2 linked regions of the Danio rerio genome follow. Each later gene encodes a partner of the first gene's protein in a complex. Links are inferred from orthologs where the notes say so. Each region holds a gene or a part of one and is shown in the gene's direction. Other genes may lie near its edges.

What was found.
Region 2: gtf2e2 (region 1) and polr2g share a complex: the UniProt entries of both Homo sapiens proteins name them as parts of the TBP-based Pol II pre-initiation complex. The link is inferred for Danio rerio from reciprocal best matches to the Homo sapiens genes GTF2E2 and POLR2G.

What each region holds. Positions count from the first base shown.
Region 1 is NC_133176.1:24,437,663-24,441,492, forward strand, and holds part of gtf2e2 (transcription initiation factor IIE subunit beta), read left to right. Parts: intron 1-1,580; 5' UTR 1,581-1,581; coding exon 1,582-1,744; intron 1,745-3,326; exon of another isoform or gene 3,327-3,830. UniProt on the Homo sapiens protein: Recruits TFIIH to the initiation complex and stimulates the RNA polymerase II C-terminal domain kinase and DNA-dependent ATPase activities of TFIIH. Both TFIIH and TFIIE are required for promoter clearance by RNA polymerase.
Region 2 is NC_133189.1:30,990,238-30,994,853, forward strand, and holds the start of polr2g (DNA-directed RNA polymerase II subunit RPB7), read left to right. Parts: upstream 1-1,787; 5' UTR 1,788-1,899; coding exon 1,900-1,911; intron 1,912-2,021; coding exon 2,022-2,131; intron 2,132-2,210; coding exon 2,211-2,370; intron 2,371-3,707; coding exon 3,708-3,758; intron 3,759-3,858; coding exon 3,859-3,924; intron 3,925-4,005; coding exon 4,006-4,077; intron 4,078-4,186; coding exon 4,187-4,220; intron 4,221-4,355; coding exon 4,356-4,369; 3' UTR 4,370-4,616. UniProt on the Homo sapiens protein: Core component of RNA polymerase II (Pol II), a DNA-dependent RNA polymerase which synthesizes mRNA precursors and many functional non-coding RNAs using the four ribonucleoside triphosphates as substrates.

The sequences.
Region 1 (3,830 bases):
ACACTTTCAAATTTGAGTTTATAAAAAAAATACAAAAAGCAAATTTTTTTTTTTTTTTAGGTGTTTATTATAACACAGAAAACATTTATTACAGTTATTTTAAACACTTTTAAAGTGTTTCCTTTAAAATGACACCAAATTTTTGCATTTACACCTCTGCATGTGGATTTGGGTAGCTTTTAAATTTGGGTAGGCAAAATCCAGGCAGAAATCCCAAAATAGCACTGGAGTTTAAGTGGTTAAGGCCATTTCAGTCATCATGCATTCGGCATCTGTCATCATCTCATCAGTGACATGCAGTCTAAATATGCAGTCTCTGGGTCATTGCATGCAGAGTATATTCTTGGACACTTTTAATGCTTCTAAACAGTTTGCTTCATGTCTTGAGGTAGTTCAGTATGCATTAGACATTAATCACACTGCTAATTTTTCTAATCTCCATAGACAGGAAATAATAAAGTAGTTATTGCAGCTTGAAGAAAAGTAGTGGAGTTAAAATACCAATACAGCGCTAAAAATGTACTCAAGGAAAAGTAAAAGTTCACATTTTTAAAACTAATAAGTTAATTACAATTTCTTAAAAAAACTACTCAATTGCAGTAATTTGAGTATTGGTAATTTGTCACTATAAACCACTGGGTTTCAATAGTTCATGAATTTATCCTTTTGGTTTTCATCATGCTAGACAAACAAGCTAAGCCTGTCATAAGATATATGTGGTATAGCAGATCCTTGATTGTTTTTAATACATTGTCAGCATCATTTATGAGCAATTTCAGCGTTTTGGATCTGACATTTGCAGTAAAACACTCAAAACATACATTCACGTGGAAGGTATATGTTACCATTATATCGAAACATCCGTTTATATTTTCCAGAACAACTGACCACAGAGTTATGAAAGCAGAAAAATATCAATCTGTAAACACGTTTTGTACTTTAAATGAAGAAAATAAACGGGTTATGGATGTGACCAAAAAAGTCTGTACAGTATACAACATACTTTAGAAATTCTGTGAATTAAACTGCACAACCCAAAACAAATAATGATAATCAAAAGAATAAGAGTTGGCTCTCTGTAGAATAAAAATGAGAGATTTTAGTTTATTTAATATTTTCACATTTATGAGGAAAAAGTGTCGATATGGATGTGACATTTCTCCGTTTTAGATGAGACAGATTTGAAATTGCCACTTGTGTGACTTTGATAAATCAAATAAAATAGTTTGTAAACATTGACAGATACATTTTTGAGTTTTTCTAAAGTACTGTAAAATACTTGCTGGCACAAAAAGCTTAGAAATGTTTTCAGTATTTTGGTGAAAACTTAATTTAATTCAGGGTTGACAGTTGCATGGAATTGCTAGCATGGACTAAAATAGATATCAATTTGTATAGAGTAGTCAACATTTGAATTGTATCAAGAATGTTTTTCACAGACAAGAAAGGTCTAATTCAGTAGTTTTAGGACAATTTGTATGAAAGGTTTGGATTCGCTTCACTTGGATTTGTACTGTTGACTACGTTTAACAGTCAGACTATGTGTTTATGATTTTAACTATGTGTTATGATGTGTGCAGGATGGATCCAGCTCTGCTGAGAGAGCGAGAGCTCTTTAAAAAGAGAGCTTTGTCAACTCCTGCAGTAGAGAAAAGACCAGCAGCCTCTGAGGCCTCTGGATCCTCCAAGAAGAAAAAGAGCAAACCAGACAAAGAGTCGTCATCTTCCTCCAAAAACAACAGTGGTAAGTGAATATGTGGGTGTTTATTAAATCTTTAGAATCAACTCACTTCTCACAAAGTGCTTGGGCATAACTTTTTCTGTTTCATTAAAAAGTGCACTACTTTGTAATACTAATGTGCAAAAAAATCTGTTGTTTTATTTAACAGAATTATTATTGAGGTAATGTTGGTTTTATAATCGAACATTTCTTCAGTGACCACTTTGAATATTTGGTCTGAAATCGCATTTACGTATGATTTCAAAACAACATTAGCAGTATTTAAATGACTCTGAACAATTTTGTACTGTAATAGCCATTGTATGCTAATAAGATTTCCCTATTTAGAATTTGCAAAGAATACTTGTCTGAAACTATATTAAGGAGAAAGTCAGAATTTGCGAATTTAAAATCTTTACCCAAACAGAATTATTGCTTTTATTCAAATGCAGTCAGATATTGGATGTGTTTTTACTGTAATGATTTGTAATCACAAAACAACCACAAAACATTTCTATTTCAAATAAATGCAAACTTTCTGTTAAAAAAAATCTCTGGACAAGAAAATACGCATATGATAACGATTTACAATTTTTTAACATTATAAATTTATGATGAAAAAAGGCTATTCATTTGAACTTTTTTTGATTAAAGAATCCTAAAAGTGAGTTGTATCACAGTCAAATCTTGTCAGCACTGATAATTATAAGAATCATTATAATTGACTATAGTAGGACAACAAATCATTATATTATAATGATTTCTGAAAATGATAGCTCAAGTAATGATGATGAAAATTCAGTTTTTAATCACAAGAATAAATAAAATTTGAACCTACATTCAATAAGGAAATTATTGTTTACATTTAAAAATATTTGTTTACAGAAGACACAGGAAATGCTTAAATATTATTTACAGGATATACAAGAGTTACTTTATTTAGAAGAGATACTGCTTATTTTCTACTTTCAATATGAAAAACACTAAAAAACGTTTATTTTGTTTTCAAAAGTGAAAGTTATTTATTCGTGACTGTTGGTTTCAGGCATGTGTGTCTTAATTTAAGTTGTTCAATGTTGATGTTCAATTAGTAGTCATAGATAGTTTGTGTTTCCTTCAATTATTTTTAAATCATCAAGTGATGCACCCTTCATTCACAAATCTCTCACTTGTAATATGTGAGCATATTTACTGTACAAAACTTATCAGTGAACTATGAGGGCAAAAAAAATAAAAATAAATAAATAAAATAATCATTCATTAATCCAAATAGAGTTCAAATGTTCAATTTATCAAGATTTAAATTTTAGGCCAAATCACCCAGCCCTAATATTATGCAGGCGTATATCAGATAGATTATTGATTATTGGATTATTGATCACTCTGGCTCTCAAGATGAGTTGTCCAGAAATAATGTCATGCTTCATTTTCTTGAGTGAGGTTCAGCAGCTGCACTGCTTAATAGAGTTCAGTCTAGTTACTGTATATAATAGGAAGAACAGTGTTCAAGGACAGACCTTTATAATTTTATTGAACATTAAAACTTTTTTTAAATGTAATTTCATCAGCTTGTAATATCTTCTGTAACCTTATTGGGAACCACACATTTCTTGTGCTTGCATGATTTTTTATTATGTAATTTTAAATACACAATTTTAAGGCATTCACAAAGATGCAATAATAGGCCTTTAGTGTGCTTCTTTATATAGAACTATTTTAATACATAAGTATTCACCTATAATAAATCTGAACATAAACAAATAGAAACATTCTTTTCAATCCAGCTGTATATTTGCATCAGGTAGTCAAACCATACTGTATTTAGCTTAGGAATTCCACAATACTGATATGTAAACTGTTTTGTCATCCCACTCAATGGGATAAATTCATGTAAACACGTCTAAAAAGAAACAAAAATCAACCGTTTTATAGAGTCATCACACAGTAGCATTGGAATACTCAGACTCTATGCGGTGAAAACATTGATGTACACTCACAAGCAGATTTTTAGCCTCCATTTCTAATGCAAATCTCATCTAATATTTGAAGCCGTCGAGACACCTGTGTCGTGTATTGCCATTGGATCTAGTGGGAGTAGAATGCTTCTGTC
Region 2 (4,616 bases), on another chromosome or scaffold:
AGTTAGTCAGTTGGTTATTTGTTCATTTATTTATTTAGGTAGTTAGTTATTTAGTTATTTGTTTATTTATTTAGTTATTTGTTTGAAGATCACACACACACACACACACACACACACAAAGATATATGTATGTATGTATATATAGACTATGTATGTATGTATATATAGACAATAATATAATTTAGGTTTACATAGTTGCTAGTTGTCAAGATACCTCTGGATTATTGAGAAATAGACATTTTATTCGTCACTTGGATTCAACAGCACTAAAACTTTAATGTAAGATATTGGTGCAAATATCACTCGCTGCTTCGATAGAAAATGCTTTTTTAAACAACAAATACAGAAATGTACAATAATATACAAAAATATATGCCAGAGTGTACATAAAAAACCTTCAGTAATTAAAAATCGTATATTCATCTAGAAAATGCTTTCAAGTTCCTATATCTGGGGAATGATGACCTCACAATGCAAAAGTTTAGAGTTATAGTGACCTCTTGTGTTCGTGTGTTGTTTTGCAGGCTGTGTGTAAACGCTGAACACGGGTCAGCAAACAAAGTGGTGCGTTTACAATTGACTGAGTAAAATCGGATTTAGTGGAAACAACGATGATGTTATTGCTGGTTATTGGTTCAAATTAAATTACCATAATCTTAAGACAACATCGAAATTGATATCACTGTGTGTTCAATGTTTTAAAAACACAAATAAAATCGTTCGAATCTCATTTCACTAGTTATAGACCATTTCAGTGTGGTCATGTCTTTGGCCCATGAACATTTCCTGCTTGTTATCAAACTATTTTATAACTGTATCAAGAAGCAATTCAATCATAACTTAATATTAAAACAGCTATCATAACATTATTTATTAATATGTGTCTCTTTTTAGATTCTTAGAAGCTATAGAAATGTAAAACAGGAAATACGTTGGGACCATTGTTTTTGTTCACATCCCTCAAAATGGTCTATAGGCAACCATTCAGTTTGGAAAAGAACATGTTTTCTATTGTAAATAAGTTCTGCATTATTGATATTCATTCATTCATTCATTCATTCATTTGTTGCTTGCTTGATTGAAAAATCTCAAATTATTAAAAAATGCATGTTACAAATATTTATATTCTTTTAAAATGTATTTAATTATGTTTTATTTGCATGGCTATTAAAATTTAAGGACATTAAAAACGTATACAACATTGGGTCATAGCAAAAAATCATGCAAGTTGGGTTATTAACTGTTTATTTTATTTTTATTTTTTTTGTTACGTGACAATCTTAAAAGTTAAAACAGAAGCAAATGTGAACAACAAGATATCTGAATTTACTGTGTGGTTTTTAAAAGCTTTATTGTGTCCACGCCAATAGCCAATATATTTTGAACATTTAGCCTACTATTAGCATTTAAGCAGCACATACTCAAAACTTGCATATTCTCATTTTTAAAGAAAATGTTTTGAAAGAAATATACATTTTGGGCCTGACTTCAAAGGTTTTGATTTTCGAGGTAAAATGTCTGCAAATAAATAAATATCACACATAGCATTAAAAATCATAATGTAATAATCACTCATCTGGTGAAGTAGCTGCTAATAAATATGAATTCATTTATTTTTCATCTGCAGTGTCTTACCTTAATAGGGAATCTTATAGACAAAAACAGTTGAAGTGTCTACATTTGTATAAAAATAAAATTCTGAATCCAGAATCAACGCACACTAAACTAGCAGGGACTTTATTTCTAGGGAATCTTAGGGCTTTTAATTTGCAGTCGTTTTCACCCGGAAACATTCGCGTGCTCGCGCTGTCGAGATTCGGCGCCTGAACGCACTGACATAGAAAGTCGTGGCTGTAGAGTTTTAATTCAAGACTTTTGGAAGCTAAAATACAATAAGAGATGTTTTACCACGTAAGTCAGTGGGTGTTTTAGTTTTACGTGATAAGTGAGTTGCAGCACTTATAAATGTCCGTCAATGTTTTCTGTGCTCACTGTTGTTTACACGTTGTTTGTCACAATAGATCTCTCTGGAGCATGAAATTCTCCTCCATCCAAGATATTTTGGACCCAACCTTTTGAACACAGTCAAACAGAAACTGTTCACTGAGGTTGAAGGAACATGTACTGGAAAGTAAGTTAACGTTACTTCATCAATAAATGAATGAACGTTATGAGATCTGACTCTCTAATGCTCGTGTGTTGTTTCCCAGGTATGGCTTTGTTATTGCAGTAACCACAATCGATAATATTGGAGCAGGGGTTATACAGCCGGGCAGAGGTTTTGTGTTGTATCCCGTCAAATACAAAGCCATCGTCTTCCGTCCCTTCAAAGGAGAAGTTGTGGATGCTGTTGTCACTCAGGTTAACAAAGTACGGTTTGTGTTTTTATTTTCATACAACAGTTACAAAAATATAAATATAAAACATACATTATATAGAACATCAGTACGGGATAATTAATACTTATTAAAACAATAATGCTCAAACAAGGTGTTGTGTACATAATGTTTTATTATTTTCTAATTGTTCAATAAACTGGAGACTATTATTGTGCTTATACTATGGTTACTAGACATAAATGTTCAGGTCAGATGATTTAAATCGAGACATTTTTCAGATTTCTGTCCTCAGACAGCTCACGTGTGTAATACTTATGTAGTGTCATAATTATCTTAGCCAAAGCCTTTAGTTTTGATTTTTAAATGTGAAATAACTGTAACCATTCATCGTAGTGATGTGGAACTAATGCAGTCAAGACCTGCCTGGAACTGCGAAAGCAGTGTGCTTATTTAAAAATAATTGAACACCTTAAGTTTCACCAGCCAATCAAAATCAAGCCCTGTAGTATAATTACCTTTGTTTCAGACCCTTGGCAAATGGTCCTCAGAGCTTTTATATAGGCATAAGGTGTTATCAGATTTTCTAGTTGTGATAATTACTGAAGCTTTTATCACAATCTATGGCATTCTCAAAATATTGACTTAAGCAGTTACAAATTAGTTTTAATAACAAATAAACACTACATTTTGTGTATTGCACTTAAATGTTCACAGTTGACAGATTTTCCTAGCAAAATAAACTGTAAAAGTATTTCAAAGTGCCATGGGTAACACTTTACTAAACAATTTCATTTGTTTTAAATGTCAGTGTTAGTCTTGAACAATATAACTGAATGTTATTAGTTAATTATTATTCGTTAAGAATTTTACTTAACCTAGGAATAAAGAATAGGAAACGAGTTGAACCAATGGTAATGAACAATAGGTCTGTAAATAATCTAAACATTTTCAGTCGATGTCATTGGCCAGATTCATGTAAAAAATGTTTGCTTGCAAATAAATAGTCTATTAAATTGTCATGTTATTGACACCACTACCGATACAATAATCTGCTTAAACTAAAATGTTTTCTAATACTATACAGAAATAATAATTCAATGTAATTTTGAAGTGTCCATGATACCAATTTTAGGATTGTTCATTATCAGGATATATTGCAGGGAACCTGGCACATGTTTAACCGGCACTTCTAAGAGTAAAAAAAAAGCCTGCACTGGCAAAACAAAATGAACACTCGAATTGCGGCTCCTGACAATACATTTGTCTTACAAAGTGAAAGCTCAATCTCTACATGACACTGAACATTAATTTTTCTCTGCTACAGATTTTTCCAGTGTTCAATGCATTTTTTATTTCTTTTTTTCCCAGGTTGGACTCTTTACAGAAATTGGCCCCATGTCTTGTTTCATTTCTCGACATGTAGGTTTTCATGGTAAAATATATTCGTGTATTGGTAAAAGACATGTGTAATTGTCTTAAATCTGTGTGTGTGTGTTTTTTTTTGTGTGTGTGAATCTAGTCTATTCCCTCTGAGATGGAGTTTGATCCAAACTCAAATCCTCCATGCTACAAGACAGTGGATGAGGTAGGATTGAATGCTTTTTGTTTTGAAAGTTGTTCTTTTTCAACAGTTTTAAACACAATTTTTATTTTTTTTTTTTAACAGGACGTTGTGATTCAACAAGATGATGAAATTCGACTGAAGATTGTGGGAACTCGTGTGGACAAGAATGATATTGTAAGTAAATGCCAGTTTTCTCGAATATGTCGATGATATAAATCATTTTTTCAATGTTTATTAACAGTTTTTAATGACTTGTTTTGTCCTTTTATTTATTTTTTATTAGTTTGCCATTGGATCTTTAATGGATGACTACCTGGGTATATGTTTTCTACGATTTAAGCTTGAAACTATACTTATTAAATTGATAACAGAACGTTTTAATTAAGTCTTCTTTAAATAATTTCTGGTGATGATATCAAGCTTTTGTCTGAACATGTCTCTTATTCTTCTAGGTCTTGTGAGCTGATTCCTCTGCCGTGAATATGGGAAATTTGAGAGTTGTTGCTGTGGTGGTGATGATACTTAGTTTGTGTATATACTGTAATTATTTCCCTATTCATTTAGATTAGTTTTTCTTTTTTTCCATTTTCTGTTTTTATTGTCTCCTTTTATTAAAATGTTGGTAGTACAGTTTCAAGTTCAAATTTGAAACCAGATGAAGTCGAATGGGAACAAAGAGTAGCTCAGCAGTGGCTCTACATCACGTGTCGAAC